Linked DNA regions of Notamacropus eugenii. The protein of the gene in region 1 interacts with the protein of each later gene in a biochemical or structural test. Links are inferred from orthologs where the notes say so. Each region holds a gene or a part of one and is shown on either strand. Other genes may lie near its edges.

Region 1 (8,559 bases):
ATACTAGAGTGGTTTGTCATTTCCCTCTCCAGTCCATTCTACAGATGAGGAAACTGAGGCTAACAGGGTGAAGTGACTTGCCCAGGTTAACCCAGCTAGTAAGTTTCTGAGACCAGATTGAACTCAAGGAGATGAATCTCCCTAACTCCAGGCCCTGTGCTCTATCCATGGCAACATTTAGCTGCCTCAAGCATCTGTTAAGGACCTACTATGTGCCAAGCATCATGATAGGTACTTTAAAAATTTTATTTCATTTGATCCTTACAACAACCCCAGAAGGTAAGTGCTATTATTATCCCCATTTTACAGTTGAGGAAAATGAGGCAGGTAAAGAAAAAATAAATAAACTGAGGCCCTAAGGAGGAGAAGAGGAATTGCCCTAGATTGCAAAGGAAATTGGTTTCAGAACTAGAGACTATCCCTCAGGCCTTATATGGGGACTATAAAATTGGAAGTTGGTGGCAACGTCCCAAACTGTGCACAGGCTGAATGTTGGAGTCAATCCCAGGCCAGCCTTCATTGGGCAGGAGCAGCGATAGGCAAGTTACGTGTTGTGCTCTGGCTGGTACAACCATGTTTGGTGTACTGCCTGACATGGGGCCTCATCTCTCCCATCAAGGCAGGAACTTCTCAGGAACAACTGGACAATGAGGGGAACTCCAAGGCTTGTGAAGTGGGACATTCCAAAAAACTTGCTCCACCGCCTTCAAGGTCAATTACAGCATCTTGGATCTTGACCCAGTCACCAGTTCTGTTTTTCCCTTTTGGGACTTGCTGACAACAATGAGGCCAATTCACTAAAAAAAAAAAGTTTACACAAATTCTTTCAGCTCTTTAGTAGGACTTGGCTCATCATCTCTCGTTTTAAAGACATATCCAAAGTCATAGAGCCAACATCCCATCCTACGTCTCCTAACTCGTGGCTTAATATTCTTCTAGAATCCTGTTGTCTATCTCCCTTTCTCCTATTATTACCCAGGAATTCTGCCCTCCCTACATATACGCCCTTAGATCCATGACCATTCATGGGCCTCAGGCTAGCTTTAGCGCTCAGTCAGTATTTCTTTAAAAGAAAGAAAATATTTAAACATTTGCTTTAAAAAAATGACAATTAAGAAAAAAAATCAAAAAGAAGGGTATTGGATTTGATGATTAGGAAATTACAAATAATTCTTTAGGATGAATTTTTTAAATTTAAAAATTCTTAATAATAAACATACCAGTAAAATGAAATCTTTCTGAAGGGAAGAAAACATATAGGTAGAAACAAAAAGTCCACGTAGGTAGATGCTGAAAAATCATTGAGCAAAATGTGTATCTGTTTACATCAAGGAACTGTAATCTTTACTGGGAGGTCAGATGGTTAGATAGTTGAAGAGGGGAGTCTGGGGACTGAAGTGATAGTTAGGATCTTATCTAGCCCAGGTCCAGGGGAGTATATCTAAAACCTGTCATTGGGGTCCTAGGACCCTGACAAAAATAAGAGTTAGCATTTACCAGGGGCACTGACAAATATAACCTCATTTGATCCTCACAACAACTCTTAGAGGTAGGTGCTATTATTAGCTCCATTTTACAGATGCGGAAACTGAGGCAGACCGCCATCAAGTGATTTGCCCAAGGTCACACATCTAGTAAGCATCTGAGGCCAAATCTGAACTCAGGTCTTTTCGACTCTATTTACTTTGTCACCTACAAAGGTACACCCCAATGGTATAAAAAAAGGGTTTGACCAGTAATGTCAAAAACATTCACTGGAGCTATTTCTACTGTATCATGTTAGAATCACTAATGGAGGAATTCTAGGGGCACTCTGGAAAGAGGTAGGCATGGAATATTTGGGGGAGGTCCTTCCTGGGAGCCTCCAAAACTCTGTAAAAGCCCCATAAAGAGCACCCCAGCAGCCAATCGAAAAGGATGACCAACTCTCCCAGGTCTCATTTCAGCTTCCTGTTATCTCTTACCCTGCTTGGATATCTTCTTTCTCTTCTCTCCTCTTCCCCTCTTCCTCCCTCCCAGTGGTCCAGGAAGCTGGGAGCTTGTTATCTCCATAGCTCTAGAGAGCATTAGGTCAATATTTCTGGGTTATCTGTATCAACTTGAGTCTACTTGTATCTGTGTCTCTTCCCCAGCCCTGGGGCTGAATATCCTGCTCACGATGGAGAACCTACTCTTTTTTTCTGTCTGTTGAGCTTTAGTTTCCTCATTTATAAAATGAGGGTGTTGAACTGAAAGATCTCTAAAGGTTCTTTCCATGGCTACATCTATTAGATTCTGTTTTTTGAGTCTGGGCCCACAGATGGCAGTCTCCCTGAAGACAGGGGCTGTGGCATTGGCATCTCCCTCAGCCCGGTGACTCTCCAAGCAAGGACAGAGCTGTTGTCCCTCACCCCTATGCCCAGAATGGGTGTAGGCAGGGCTTATCTTCCTTCTCAGGCTTGGGGCTCCTAATGGGCAGGGTCTGGCCTCTTCCTCTGATTGGAGGTTCCCCAAAGGCAAGAATTGTGTCTTCTCCAGATGACTGGGAACTTTAAGAGTAGGAATCTGGACTTTTCCTCTGACTTTTCCCACAGGGTCCAGCCAAGGACCCCACTGAAATGATGCTTTTTAAATATCAATATCTGAGGGACTTGAGTGGCCATATGAACATAACTGATAAGAGCAGAGGGCTGGCTTGGGCAGGGTGCAGAAACTGGTCTATTGCGCTGTCATTCAGAGTGAGGTAGGTTATTCTTTCCTGGCAGGCACTGAGATGTCCAAGCTTTCTCCCTGACCCTGACTTTGCCCTAAATGTCCCTTCTCACTGGCCCTGGGGTGGGAAGTGAGAACCCTTCCAATTGCTATGGAATCTGGTCCTTTAAGGCTACCCTGGAGCTAGGGTGGAGATAGGGGGAGTCTTCGGTGTCAACTGTAAAAGCTGAAATGTCCCCTCAAGGGCAAGGAGGTAGAGTGGAATATATAGTAGGAGTATTGACTTGGGAGTCAGGGAACATAGCTTCCAATCTTAGCTTTAATTCTTATTATCTGTGTGGTTTGGGGTATGTTACTTAATTTTGGTTGGCCTCAACTTTCTTACCTGCGAAATGGGAAATGAATTTGATTGCTTCAGAAGTCTATCAAAGAATTTAGTTTGAGGTTGGGGGAGGGGGGATGTGGGGCACTGGTTACTACTTTGAGAATGAGGTGAACCAAAATCAAGGAAAGTCATTGGTGGCCACAACGTGTCTCATGTGGGCCTTCTTAGGAGGCTGGGAGATAGGAGAGGAGGCATCCCAGTCCTGGACTCATTGGGCTCACAGGCTTGGAATGCCTTAGACCATGTCACACCCAGATGGGCACTTCCCCTGGGTCACTGCCCGCCCGTCTGGCTGGAGAGCCAGCCTGGAGCCTAAGGAAACCTAGCAACTCTCTGTTGAAACAATGGAAAACTTCATTTTTCTCTCCCTCCACCCCACCATTTCATTACTCAAAAGGTTTCTCTCAAGGTTTAAAAAAAAAAAAAAAGCAAACCCCCACCCAAAAAAATGTTTTCTTTCTGCCACTGAGCCTGGTGCCCTGGAAAATTTCAGGCGGAAAGGGGAATTTCAGAGTGAGTCCAAACTGGAAAGAAGAGCTGTGCCTGTTTGAAGTCATACATCTAAGAATTTCTTGGGAAATTCACAGGAACTGTGGACCAATTGTGTTCTGTCTCTGTGTGTGATTTGTATGATTGGTGTGTGTGTCTGGGATCATAGAATTAGAACCAACAGGCCCGGAGATCACATAGTCCAATCTCACTTTATGGAAAAGGAAGAGGTTGAAGTAATGGGAGGGTCAGGGAAGGCTTCCTGGAGGAGGCGACATTTTGCATTCAACTTTAGGGAGAATTCAACAGGGCTCTGATTTGTGTGAATGACTGGGTGAGCTGAGGAGCTCTTTCTTCTTTCTCTCTGTGAGGTCACCAGGAAAGGGATAGGAACTCCTGCCTTAGACAGTTTTGCACCTCAATATGAGTCCTTAGGACCATAGATTTAGACCTGGAAAGGGCCTCAGAGGCCATCTGGTTTAAACTCTTCATTTTACAGAAGAGGAAACTGAGGCATAAAGAGTTTAAGAGAATTTAGGTTGTCCAGATAGTAAGCTATACTAACAGGCAGGATCTGAATCCAGGTCCTGTGACTCCAAAGCCCAAGCGTTCTTTGGAGAGGATCAGGAGTCCCAACGTGTAGACTAGCCTTGATTCGTGTTTCTAAGTTACTGTGTGAGGTGCCAATTTGTTCAAGGGTTCAGGAAGTATTTTCGCCAGCGGGATGGGGGGACGAGGATCTTGGAGCATTTCAAGTCCAATCCCTCGTTTTTCGTAGAGGGAGCTAAGGCCCCGAGAAGTTACGCGACTTGTCCAAGGTCTCACAGCAAGAACCCCATCGAAAGCGCTTTCCTCCAGCCCTCGCTGCGGGCTGGGTCTGGTTTTCACCCTCTCCCTGCACCCCGCTCTGCTCCTCGCCTTCGGGGCAGGTTTGCGCGAGCCGATCCGGGACCACGGCCCTCCCCTCCACAGTTAGCTCCGTCAGTCCTCCCGGGCCTCTCCAGGTCTCCCCGCGCCCCCGCACCCCGCCCCTGGTCCCATCCCGGACTCCAGGCCGGGTTTGGCGGGGAGCCGGCCCTGGGCCGCTGCCCCGCTGGGGAGGCGGGGGGGGATCGGGGGCCCAGACAAAGGGCCAAGGTGGCTGCGCGGCCCGGGCTCCAGCCTCCTGGGCCGGGCCGGAGGCGGGGCCGGGCCGGAGGCGGGGCCGGCCCTGGGAGGCGGGGGCTGGGAGTGGGGGGCAGAGAGCCGGGGCGCCGCGCCGAGCCCTAGCCCAGCCGAGCCGAGCGAGCGGGCCGCAGACATGGGGCCGCGGGCGGTGCGGACGGGGCGGCTGCTGCCGCCGCTGCTGCTGCTGCTGGGTCCTCTCCTCAGCGTGAGTCCGCCCCTGCCATCCCTCCCCACCCTCCATTCCTTTCTCCTGTCCTCACCCCTCGGCTTCTCCGGCCACTTTGGTAACTTTGCGTGCCCGGAGGGCAAGTTGGCTCCGCGGCCAGCGGGCTGGGGCTGCCCGGGGGACTGGGAGGGACGGGCTGGGGATCGGGGATGGGGGCTCAAGTCGGCCGGTCGGCCGCGCGCCTGCCTCGGCACCTTTGCCCTGCGCCTTCCCCCCGGGGCATATGTCCTCGAGGGCCCCGCGATGCCCCTGGACCTCCTGGGCCACAGAGGGCTGGGTTCGGAGAGGGCACGGGGGCTGAGGAGAGAGGGAGAGGCCGGAGCCCGAGTCCTCCAAGAACTCGAGAAACTTTGAGCGCCCAGAGAAAAGTTGGCTTTTCGGTAGATCAACCCCATAGGCTGGGGTCCCTCGGGCACAGGGCAAGGCTGGGTGCACCACCACCCCCTCTGGCCCCAGGAAACCAGACCCTAAAGGGGAAGGGCTGTCCAGTGGAGAAGTCCAGTTAGGAAATGAGAGGCCCAAGCTCCCCAGTCCATGCCGCCCTTGGAGACAGTAGGAATCTGGCTACCCTTGGGTGACCTGCCTGTGCCACGCACGGGGCCAGCCTCAGGGGAGTGGAGAGGGGAGAGAATCGAGAGAGAATGGGCGGGGTCAGTCCCCACGCGGGGAGAGTGGGCGGGATCGTCACCTGTAGTGGGGAGAGTAGTTGGGGTCAGCGTCCCGGGTGGGAGGCCGGACCCTCTATGGGACCTCGTGTATGACGTGGAGGGGCTAAGCATTTGCCTCCGACGAAGAGAATAGACAGGTGGGGGCATTTATGGGGGAGTGCAAGGAGAAGATCTCTCCCCCTGGGCCCATCACTTCACCTCTGCCTCAGTTTACTCAATGATTTCCAAGGTATTGGGAAAATGGCTGGGGACCACCCATATTCTCCTAGCTTCTTTTGCTCTATAGACTGAGCCAGGATGACCCTAGGGATTCTTTTTTCGGGGAATGAGGTCTGTGGGAGCCTTAAGGCTACATATTTGGAAACAAGACTAGCTCAAACTGGCTTTTGTGGCCCTTTCCTCAGTGGTATACACTGAAGGTGTTGGATTAGATCCCTGTGGTCCTTTCCCTCATGTGGTCCCTTTACATTCTATGATGCCTCTGTTAAAGAGGCCTGGGACAGGGTGTGGGGTGGGGACTTGCCCACAGTAAGCTCTTCCATTCCTGGCTCCTGACTTTGGTGAGCCAGGGCCCTAGGGAGGGCCCTGGGCAGGCACTCTGCTGTGAAGGGCCCCAGAGAACAGCTGCTTTTCCATTAATAAGTATATATTTGACTCATCCAATCTGACCATGCCCTTAAGGACCTTACACCTCAGAACAAGAAACTAACTAACCCTGGACAAGATCATTCACTAGGGGACTGATCCCAGGTAGTTAGACTTGAAACTACACTTAACGACCTCAAACTGCCTCAGCCTCTTATTTTACCGATGGGCAAATTCAGGCCCAGAAAGGTTGAAGTCAGAGAGGGAAATCACTGTCATGGGACTTGAAAGAGATAGGAAAAAAAAAAATCTCCTGAAATCTCAACAGATAGCTAAATAACTTTAACGTATGTTTGTGTCCTGCTTGGACGTTGCCTAGGAAATTTCCTCAAAACATTCCTTTAAGGTAGATCGTCTGCGCATTCATAAGATTATAGCCCTAGTGCTGGAAGGTACCTTAGATACTTTTTAAGCCCATCCTCCCTCATTTTACAGATGTGAAAACCAAGATGTGGCTTGCCCAGGTTCACACAGCTGGGATCTGAGGCAGGAGGCAATCTATCTTCCTGGCTCGGGTGCTCTAACCATTACGCCTTGCTGCCTTGTGCCTATCTTGGTGATACTAATTGTACTGGATTTGGAGGAGGAGACCCTAAAGCCACTTTAGCTCTCTAGGGCTCACGCCTCCTCATCTGTAAAATGAACCAAAATGATGGGGCAGCCTCAGACCAGTGGTATCAAAATCAAATAGAGATCCCTGCAGGCTGCAGACTGACTCAGAAAGCCACAGTTTCACTTTATCTGTTTCGTGGTTTTATTTATTTTGTCAAACATATCCCAGTTCCATTTTAATGCACTCGTTCTGACACCTCTGGACCAGAAGAGGTAGCAGGTTCAGGCTGGACATCCCTCCCCTTGGACCAACTCCACTGAAATTTCTTCCTCTGATTCCTCAACCCAGTGAGGAGGTGAACCTGTGTTCTAGAAGGTTCTACAGGCTCTAAGGAGAGCATAAGTTCTGCCAGGGTTGATGATCATGGAAAGGCCCAGACTGGTAGTGTGGCTGTCAGTGGAGGACCAGCCTAGCTGAGTGTGTATGGAGAGGTCCCTCATCATGTTGGCGCCTGCCTTGATGGATAGATTTTTTTAGTTACAGTTTCTCTTAACCAAGTGCTTAGTATAGAAAAGCCTGTAGTCTGGGTGGGCCCATTTCAGAACCTTGGTGGAAGATCATAGAATTTAAAGCCAAAGGAACCTTAGAGATCCATCTACTCTAATCTCTTTCATTTTACAGATGAGGAAACTGAGGCTTACCTAGAATGAGGGAATAACTTGCCCAAGGTCACACAGATAGTAAGTGGCAAAATTAGGCTTCAAGCACAGACCCTCTGACTGCAAAATCTGCTGCTTTTAATAGACCTAGACTCTTAAATTTTTCCTCCTCTGCCAGGATAGTGCCCTGAGGAGCTGCTGGCACATTCCCCAGCTCCAGAGCCCTAACTCCAGCTACTGATTCTCTGGACACAGGAGCCCTTGGTCCCATTGATAGGAAAAAAGAAGGGAGTGTCTCTAATCCCAAAGCCTGGAAAGTAGTTGGTGGTGAGAGGCCTAGAGAACTGGAAAGAACTCCCCGGGAAGAGGGGAGGCTGGGGCGGGGTCAGTGGGCAGGGAGTTGGTGGCCCGAGGTTGGGTGGGTGGAATCTGGGGAGATGGGCCAGGCCTGTTACACTGAGCCATGCATCCCGCCTTTATACTCTCTCATCCAGCTCTGGAGCTCTCCTGGCCACAAGCAAGATTTTTCTAACCCAGCAAATGTTTACCTAGTGACTGACTCTATCTCCTAGTGACTTCATCCCCTTCCCACCATTGGTAGTCTCACCTCAGCTGGGCCTTAGTCACTCTGTAACTACCCCTTCTCCCAGCAGCCTCGTGGCAGACCCCTTATCCTGCTAGATCTCACTAGACTGGCCATGTCCGCCCTCCCCCCAACCTGGCTCCCTGGGGTGTAGACCTCCCCCCCACCCAGGCTGGAGAGCTTGGTTTGAACCAGACCTACTCTTACTAGTTGGATGACTCATGTCACTTCTCTGAGACTGTAAAATGGGAATGTAAAAATGCTTAGACTGCCTTCTTCAGTAATCCAACCTCTGCCATTGATATGGGAATTACTATTTTGTGGAGGAAATTGTTTCTTTGGCTGACTCCCTAAACCCCCTGTGCCTTTCATGCCCTGTGGACTCCCTCTTCCCTGACACACCCACACTTAGTCCTTCTGGCTCCCCTCCAGCACCTTATTGGAGTGTTTAAAAATAACTAGATGAGGGGTGGGGGTGGGGAAGAGTGAAATG
Region 2 (9,004 bases), on another chromosome or scaffold:
TGATGTGGCCTCTGCGGGCCCCTGCCTGAGGCTGGAGCTATGGGAAGACCCTTCTCCCTTCCTGGCCAGCTGAAAAACCCCCGTCACTGACCTTTGGTGCCTGTGGGTTGAGGGATCTGTGGACCCACTGCTACTGGGACTGGGGATTCCGCCACTGGAGATTCTGCCCCTAAGGTGTCCTCATCCCAGAGTTGCACCACACTGCATGGCCAAGGCTGGGCTGGGCTCCCCTCCACGTCTGGTGCAATAGCCATTTTCCATGGGCCTTTCAGGTCACCCTGGGCTGGTAATCTCCTCCACTCTGTTGCTCTCCACTTCTGCTGCTCCAAAATTTGTTGAGAGTCCCTCTCTACAGGTATTTTATGGGCTGTGTGGGGAGACCCTGTGTATGTGTGTCTTTCTACTCTACCATCTTGGCTCTGCCCTGTAAGTTTATTTTTTAAAAACATCTTGATAACTATATTTTCAATATAATGGATTTCCTTTGTGATCCTACATATGCTATTTTATGCACTTAAAAAGATTATTTGCAGAAGGGGTTCCAATGCTTCACCAGACTGCCAGAGAAAACCATGACACACACACACACACACACACATACACACACTCACACATACACACAGACACAGACACACATACACATGCACATGCACACACACAAAGGTTAAAAATCCCCGGACAAGAAGGTTTTTAAGGTCCCTTCTAGCTCAAACATTTTATAAAATATGGGATTATAGACTCAGTAAAGTGGGCAAACAACTACTAGTGAAGATGTTTTTTTTTTTAACCCTGAGAAATTCAGGTTGAGTTAAGAATGGATAAATCAGCACCATTGAGGAATTTACCTGAGTCATCCATCTTCCCCATCTCTGCTTTAGGTGCCTGGGAAGCTTTTTGCCTTGGACTAAATATGCTTATTGGCTCACTTTGCTATTTTCCATCATTTTGGTCTGTTATAAATTAGAAGATTATCATCTGACTGGTTTCCATCTCTTAAAGCTTTATTTTCAGTGTTATCAATATACAGGGGGAAGAGTTCTCCCTGCCTTCTCATTTCTGATAAATCCAAAGGCTTAGGAAGGGGAATCTTTACAGTTTAGAAGGGAGGAGGGGACACCATTCATCACCATGATTCAACATGAGACTGGGGAGATCAAGATATCCTCTTGCAGGTATAGCCCAGGAGACCACAGAGCAGGGCTTAATCCTTGCCAAATGATTATTTTCTTCCAATGAAATCAGTCTTAGGGTTAGAAACGACCTTGGAAGTCATTTAGTTCAATCTATACCTGAATTTTCCACTCGGATTCCTTCGTATTCCCTACAAAAAGAATGTGGAACTTTGTGTCAGTAACATCTGGATTTAAATGCTGCCTCTGGTACTCACTAGCTATGTAATCACAGAAGGGGGGAAGTCAAAGGGAAAATCCAAAAAGAGATAGAAGCTACAAAGAGGCAAATTTAGGGAGAAAAATAACTCCCTAAGCATTAGAGCTTTCCCAAAATAGAATGTGCTGTCTTCAAAAGTAGTGGCTACTCCTATGTTGAAGGGTTTCAATTAGAGGCTAATCCCTTGTTGAGTATGATATGGGCTGGACTAGATGCCCCCTTAGACATTGACAGTCCATCATTCTGGACTTCCCCCACATTTCTGCAGAGAAGAGAATCACAGGTTCTTAGAGATGTATGTAGGAAGACTTTGGGATCCTCTTATCCATGTCCAGATTTCAAAGATGAGGAGAGTGGACTGAGATAGATTAATTGACTTGCCCTAAGATATCCAAGGAGTAAGCAATAGAGCCAGGCTAAGACGTCAGGTCTCCTAATTCTCCAAATAGTCCTCTTTCCCATCCCTCAGGGTTACCTCCAGCACATAAAGCCCATTGGACAGACAATCATCCACGTCTAGGCTCTTTCTACAAAGAGACACAGGATTGGTCTTTGCTTTTGAAACATGACCTGATGCATGAACTATGGGAGACACCTAGTTCCATCCTTAAGAAAAAATGCCTCTCCTTACCCCAAGTCTTTCTAACATCTTTTGAATGGAGTTAGACATTCCTTCCTCCCAGGTCCAAGCTCTGGCAGGGGGAATCATTACGATGGAAATAACATTGACACAGGAGTCAGATAGTCATAGGATCCTAGAAAATAACTGAAAGAGACCTGGTGCAACTCCTTTATTTTACTGATGGGGAAACAGAGTGGTAAAGTGACTTATCTGAAGTCATACAGGTAGTAAGTAATGGGGCTGGGATATGAATCTAGTCCTCAGGCTCCAAGTCTAATATTCTCTGTTGGATTGTCAACTTTGACACTTTTGAGTTGGGCAATTTTCAGCAAGTTATTTCTCTTTGTTTCACAGTTTTCTCATTATTTTTCCCCTTTAGTTTCTTTCTAGGTGCTATATTTTGCAAAACTTCTGCTTGCTAGAGTGCTAAGTCCTCAAGAAGAGACCTGAGCACTACTGCCCCCACTTTTTAAGCAAAGCCACTAGGCCTGGAGACTAGAGGTAGTGAAGTATCATGGACCAGGAATCAAGAGAAAGCTGGAATCTACTCTTGGCTTTGTGTTGAATAGTTAGTTATGTGACTTTTGGCAAGTCATCTTGTGTTCCTGGGTCATTTTTTTTATCTATAAAATGAAAGTGGAAAGTGTTGGACTAGGCAGACTGTAAGCTTTCTTTCTGTTGCAAATTCAGTGATTCTAAAGCATCTGTTGCTTCCTAATTTTCTAGCTATCAGCCATGACGGTACAGATGAAATCTGCCTGCGACTCTCAGTGCTAAGGGCCCAGAGGAACTATTTCCTCCTTTCTGATCCCAGCAGGAGCTGCAGTCCAGGAACATTTCTAAAAGTGGTCCATTGGACAAAACAGGAAGATGATAAATGTTGGAGAAGATGTGGGAGAGTTGGAACACTAATTCATTGTTGGTGAAGCTGTGAGTTGATCCAACCATTCTGAAGAGCAATTTGGAACTATGCCCAAAGGGCTACAAAAATATGCATATCTTTGGACCCAGTAGTATTGCTTCTAGGACTATATCCCCAAGAGATCACAAAAATGGGAAAGGGTCCCACATGTACAAAAATTTTTCTAGCATCCCTCTTTATGGTGGCCAAAAACTGAAAATCAAGGGGATGCCCATCAATTGGGGAATGGCTGAACAAGTTGTGGTATATGAATGTAATGGAATACTATTGTGCTATAAGAAATGATGAACAGGAAGACTTCAGAGAGGCCTGGAAAGACTTATATGATCTGATGCTGAGTGAAAGGAGCAGAGCCAGGAGAACTTTGTACACAGCAACAACCATAGTGTTTGAGGATTTTTTTCTGGTAGACTTAGAACTTCATTGCAATGCAAGTACTTAAAAAATTCCCAATGACCTTTTAAGGCAAAATGTCTTCCGCATCCAGAGAAAGAACTATGGAATTCAATCACAGAATATAGCAGATGATTTTCTTTTCTATTACGTTTTGATTTGTTATATGATTTCTCCCATTCATTTTAATTCTTCTATACAACATGACTATGTTGAAAATTTATTTAATAAGAATGTATGTGTAGAACCTATATACCATCTCAGAGAGGTAGAGGGGAGAAAGGGAAAAAAAAATCTAAGTTATATGGTAGTGATTGTGGAAGACTGAAAATAAATTTAATTAATTAATTAATTAAAGTGGTCCATTGGAACTGTTGTTTTGTTCTCTACTAACTGGACCCTGGCCCAGTCTATACAAGTCAAAGCCCATCACTTCTTAGATGTGGCCTTCACTTCCTTCTGGCTTAGCACAAGTACTTCGGAGCAAAAAGGACTAGGAAACAGGTCCTTTAACCCCTAGGTTCATAGATTTAGAGCTGGAAAAGAGGTCTTTACCCAGTCATTCATTCATTATTCGTTAGTATAACTCAATCAACAATCATTTATTGGCACTAAGTGAGCAGCTAGGTGGATAGAGCGCCTGTCTAAGTTCAAATCTAGCCTCAGATACTTACTAGCTGTGGGATCCTGACCTTAACCCTCATTAATGCCTCAGTTTCCTCATCTTTAAAATGACTAAATGATGTCTAAGGTTATCTATTTCTCAATATATGATCCTAAATGTCAGAGGCCGTATTCAAAATTAGATTTTCCAGCCTCTGAGTTCAGTGTGCTCTCCATCATGAGTAATGAGACATCACACCATGCAAAGTGAGGCTTGTTTTCTAAGTCCCCCTACTCCCTAAAGGTTGAAGTCCTCAGGAAACTAGAAGGCTTTGTATCCCAAGGAATCTGATTCCTGAAGCTTTATGGCTCTTCTTCCTCTCCTTTCTTTATTTGGTTCCTTTAAAATGTGACATCTGTTTGTCATCCTCATCACCACCACCTTCTCCCCCTAACCACAGACTAGGAAAGGAGTTATAGAAAGGAAATCCTGGTGTGGAAAGGGGTCTAAAGCTGATTTTCTGTGAATGAAATCCCAGGCCTCTGTGGGGTGCCATCATTCAGAGGACACAATTTTCCCCTTTCCCACATCATACCACCCTAGGGTCAGCTTTCTGTTAAGAAATGTTTACCTTAGCTGGGAGGTAATTGGGCTCCTTTTTCAATGCTGTTTGTTTTGAAGGACAAGGTGGGCCTCAAGAGTTAGGAAAGAGAGGAGAGGGGAACAACCCCAGATAGTGAGAGAGAAGCCGTGTTCTAACTTTTAAGGGTCTCCTCCTTTTGTTGATGAGTGGTTTTTTTCAGCTGTGTCTGATTCATGTGACCCCTCCCCCATTTGGGGTTTTCTTGGCAAAGATCTTAGAGTGATTTGCCATTTCTTTCTCTAGCTCATTTTACAGATGAGGAAACTGAGGCAGAGTTTGTGATTTGCCCAGTGTCCCACAGATAGTAAGTTTCTGAGGTGGAATTTGAAAGGAGATCCTCCTGACTCCAGGCCAGTGCTCTATCCACAGTGCTCTATCCTAGGGTCTCCTAGCTAAAGTACATTTTCTTACAGCTCATCCATGTGGCTTAGGCTTGTGGAGTCTCCCATCTCAGGGAGCACATTGTTTCGGGAGGTAGGAGTTTTATACATTCCTCATCCCTCCTGAAGACACAGGTTCCTGCTTGCTCGGTTCTCTTGTTCTCCAGTCACCAGCCTTTTCACATCAGCTCGTTTTTCACCACCAGAGGAATTAGAGTTTTGAGCCAGAAGCCTGCTGGCATCACGAAGAATTTGTGCCTAGGTGCCCAGGTACCTGACCTCTTCCCAGACCCTAGTTAAACAAGTAGGGGAGGGTCCCCGGTGGGCTAGGAGGGGCTGAGTTGGCCTACTCCAACCCAGTTCACAGAGCTTTGGGAGGAGGTGAGTCACGGGTACCCGTGGCCTCATCCTCTTTGGCCTCTAAGTGATTTTCTCTTCGTGGTTCACAGTCAAACTTTTGTTCTTCTTGGCTTGGCGTTCCTGTTTAATTCAGACCAGGATGGAGCGCAGTATTTTTACACAAATCTGACAGCTCCGGGGAATGACCGGCAGTGGCCGGGGAGAAGCCCGCTAGCTCTTGAAGTGAAGGGCCCTCAGACACAAATGACTGTCCGCTCTGCTGGGAGATTCCTCCTTTTGTGCCCTCTCCTTTTCTCTTCCTGCTGATGTGGGGGAGGGGGGATCAGGGTGACCGGGTCAAGAGAAGGGATTCCCTCCTCTCTTAGGGAGAAAGCGGGGAAGGCAGAGGAAAGGATTCTACGCCTGGAGAGACCCCAGTGAGAGGTAAGGGGGATGATCAAGCCGGAGGTGAAGGCTAGGGAGGTGACGGCAGTCTCGTACCCAGATTCCCTGCCCTGCGCGTCCCTTTTTGTCTCACTTCTCCAAACTCAGAACCCAAGAAAGTCTCGAGGGTGGGGAGGGCGCACCAGTGCAGCTGCCCCCGTCGGGGAGAGGGGGATGGCTTGGCACCGAAAGGTCTCGAGGGGGCCTCCAGACCTCCCCGCCAAGCCGGCGGGTGAGCCGGATGGGGGAGGGGACGCCCCAAGGGGCGAGGTGACTGCCTGGCCCCAGAGCAGGGGGAGGGGGCGGCGTAAGGAGCGCGGGGGGTGGGGGAGCAGGTTCGGCCAGCCAGTCGGGCGGCAGCCTGAAAAACTTTTTTGCTCTTGGTCCCTCCCCCTCTGCCCGGCTCCCCGAGCGCCCCCTCCCCTCCCTTCCCTTTCCTTTTCTTCCCCTCCCTCCTGCTCTGCTCAGCCTCACACGCCGGGCCGGGACCGCGAGCAGCGAGCAGTCCATCACGGTCCAGCCCAGCAGAGCCCGGCTCCCGGCCTCCGGCCCCCCGCCCCCCGGCTCCCCCTGCCCCGCCGGCCGGGCTTGGAGTGCCCTGACCCGCGGACCGGAGTGAAGTTGGGGTGCGCGGTGAGTACGAGGCGCTGTGCGCCCTGCAGCTGGAGACCCTCTGGAGGCGCCCTTTCCTCCCGCAGTCCGCCCTGCCACCTCCATCCCGGCTCTCTCCCGAGCCGCGGAAGGCTGAGGCACGCTCCCCCTCCCTACAGTTTGGGAAAGGAATTCCGGGGCACCCCCACCCCAGCTTTCTCTGCTTCGATCGCTCTAGACGCGGGCTTCTCCTTTCCGTTATGCCCAACTGGTCCGGATGCACCAGCCCCAGGTGCCAGCCCTCAATCCTGCCCCCTCTGCCTGCTCCTCTGCCTCCGACTCTGAGCCCGGGACGCCTGCCTGGCAGGGGGACCCCGGGAACTGCTTCACTCTACTCCAAAGTTCGTGAGTTCTGGCCACCAGAGAAGAGAGTTGATTTATTTTCAATCTACTCATTTTTTTTTCACACGAGAGTGGCAGGATGTCCATCACTCACACACACACACACATACAGACAGACACAGACAGACGCACACCCCCTTTTCTCTCCAGATGCTGCTCCCAAATGTTACTTTTATGGAAAGCAATGTTCTGGGTGGGGACGGCCCCCAGAGCCAACCGCTTGTGGGTTCGTGGGTGTTTGTGGCTCAGGGCCCACTGAGAGCTGGATGTGGTTGGGAATTTCTCTTGGCAGAGGGGGTTGGTTTTATTACAACTGCTCTCCAAACTGTGCTGGCTTCTTTGCCTGGGGTGTGAGCCTTATTCTAGTTAAGAAAAAGAATTAACGGGTGGGGGTGGAGTAATAGGGAGGGGTGCAGAGAAAGAAATATTGTCCGAGACTTCTGCGAAGCCTGTTGCTCTGAGGATACCCAATTCTAGTGTCCTTTCTCATAGGTTAAGTCAATATGAATCCTGCGTTCTTTGCTTACTTCTCTCTCCCCCTCCCACTTTCCATCCTTCTTTCTCTTCCGAACTTTTCCTTCCCTTTTTAACCTTCCGTTTCCTTTTTTTCTTCATCATCTCCCTTCCTTTCCTCTTCCCCTTTTTTTCTCCTCCCTATCCATATCCAGTCTCCCTCCACTCTCTTGTTCTCCCTGGCCTCTGACCTTTCTCTCTGCCTTTCTCTCTGATCCCTCTTTGGCATCTGGGGGCTGGCAAAAAATGAAAGACAGATTGGGCTCCAGTTAAGATAGATTGTGCCACTTGATTCAGTCTCATCTTCTGTTTAGACTGGGCATCTCCTTTGATCTGGAAACCACACAAGCAGGAGAAAGGTAGGGAATGAAACATGAAATTTCCCTGTACTAGTGATTTCCATTCTTTTCAAACCATCCACAGGCAAGGAGGTGTGGCTATATCCATACACTTAGTGGTCAAGATTTTACAACTTGACAGTTATTATCCCCCTTCCTCATTTTTCTACCTTGGTTCCTGGCTTGAATGTGGCCATGCACATTTGCAATTGACTGCTGTCCAGTAGTGGTGAAAAATGACCCAAGTGGTCTCTGGATATCATAAATGATGGATCTTAGAAACACATGATTCAGTTGAGTGGAGTATTACTTCTGTCCTTGGTTGGAGATGAGGAGTTAGCAAGGTATGGAGTGACTTTAAACAATTGGGAAGCACCTGGGGATTGTCCCATAGATATAGTTCTATAGAAAAAGATTGGTAGAGTTAAAGTCAGGTAACAAATGACTTACCTTGAACTCATCGTTTCTGCTGATAAAAGCAGATGGCTATTTTTTCTTTCTTTCTTTTTTTTCTTTTTGCTGGACAGTTCCCTAGTGAGGTTGGACTTAGCTCCATCTGGGAGAAAAGGAGCAGGGGAGCAGGTTTAAGCAGTGCATTGTGGGTTTCTTGGGGTGACAAACCATGCTAGAGGCCTGTGGAGGCCCGAGCTCTGGGGGCTGGCCATATGCCACACAAACTTGTATTCTGAATGGGATGTGTGGGAGGCAACTGCTGAGCTGTGCAGTGGGAGACTAACTGGGGAAATCTCTGGCTCCAGGCTATCTCACCTCAGAACTGAGTTTCCTCTCATACAGTTGAGTTGGTTCAATGTTTCAAAGAATATTTTTTTTTTGTTTATTTTTTTGTTTGCCTGATGGGGATTTGAAAAATCTTTGCAATTTTTCAATTCAACAAATTGAACGCTCACTGTGTTCCCAACCCTGTCTTTGGTGTTAAAGGGCTTAAGAGAGGAGGGATAGTTTCTACTTTCTGGATCCCATGGTCTAATTAACAGGGAATTATTCAGTTGAATTCAATGAACACCTACTAAGGCACTGTGTTATGAGGAAAATGACACAGTTTCTGTAGCCAGGATGAAACATGCTTAGAGATGATGATGGTTCCATGTAGAACATGGGAAGTTTCTTAAGGGCGGTTCAGCCTCAATGCTGTGGAAACTTGAAGGAAAGTGACATGACTCCTGGCTAGGGAGAATAGAAAAACTCTCTAGAAGAGGTGTCATTTGACCTGGTCTTTGAATAATGATTAGGATCACAGAAACTCAGACCTTTAGTGCTAGAAGGAGCCTCATCAGCTATCAGTTCAACCTATTCACACTGGCAAAAATCTTCCCCACACTAGAACTGATAAGTAGTTTTATGACCTTTGCTTCAAGACCTCCATTGGAGAGGAACTTGATACTTCCTGAAGATTTCAACAGAAG

Evidence for each region.
Region 2: the proteins of HSPG2 (region 1) and FBLN2 form a complex in vitro, tested with the Homo sapiens proteins (2 studies listed by BioGRID). The link is inferred for Notamacropus eugenii from reciprocal best matches to the Homo sapiens genes HSPG2 and FBLN2.

Annotation. Positions count from the first base shown.
Region 1 is NC_092876.1:62,012,474-62,021,032, reverse strand, and holds the start of HSPG2 (basement membrane-specific heparan sulfate proteoglycan core protein), read left to right. Parts: upstream 1-4,803; 5' UTR 4,804-4,865; coding exon 4,866-4,937; intron 4,938-8,559. UniProt on the Homo sapiens protein: Integral component of basement membranes. Component of the glomerular basement membrane (GBM), responsible for the fixed negative electrostatic membrane charge, and which provides a barrier which is both size- and charge-selective.
Region 2 is NC_092874.1:423,729,729-423,738,732, reverse strand, and holds the start of FBLN2 (fibulin-2), read left to right. Parts: upstream 1-5,491; 5' UTR 5,492-5,736; intron 5,737-6,204; 5' UTR 6,205-6,369; intron 6,370-9,004. UniProt on the Homo sapiens protein: Its binding to fibronectin and some other ligands is calcium dependent. May act as an adapter that mediates the interaction between FBN1 and ELN.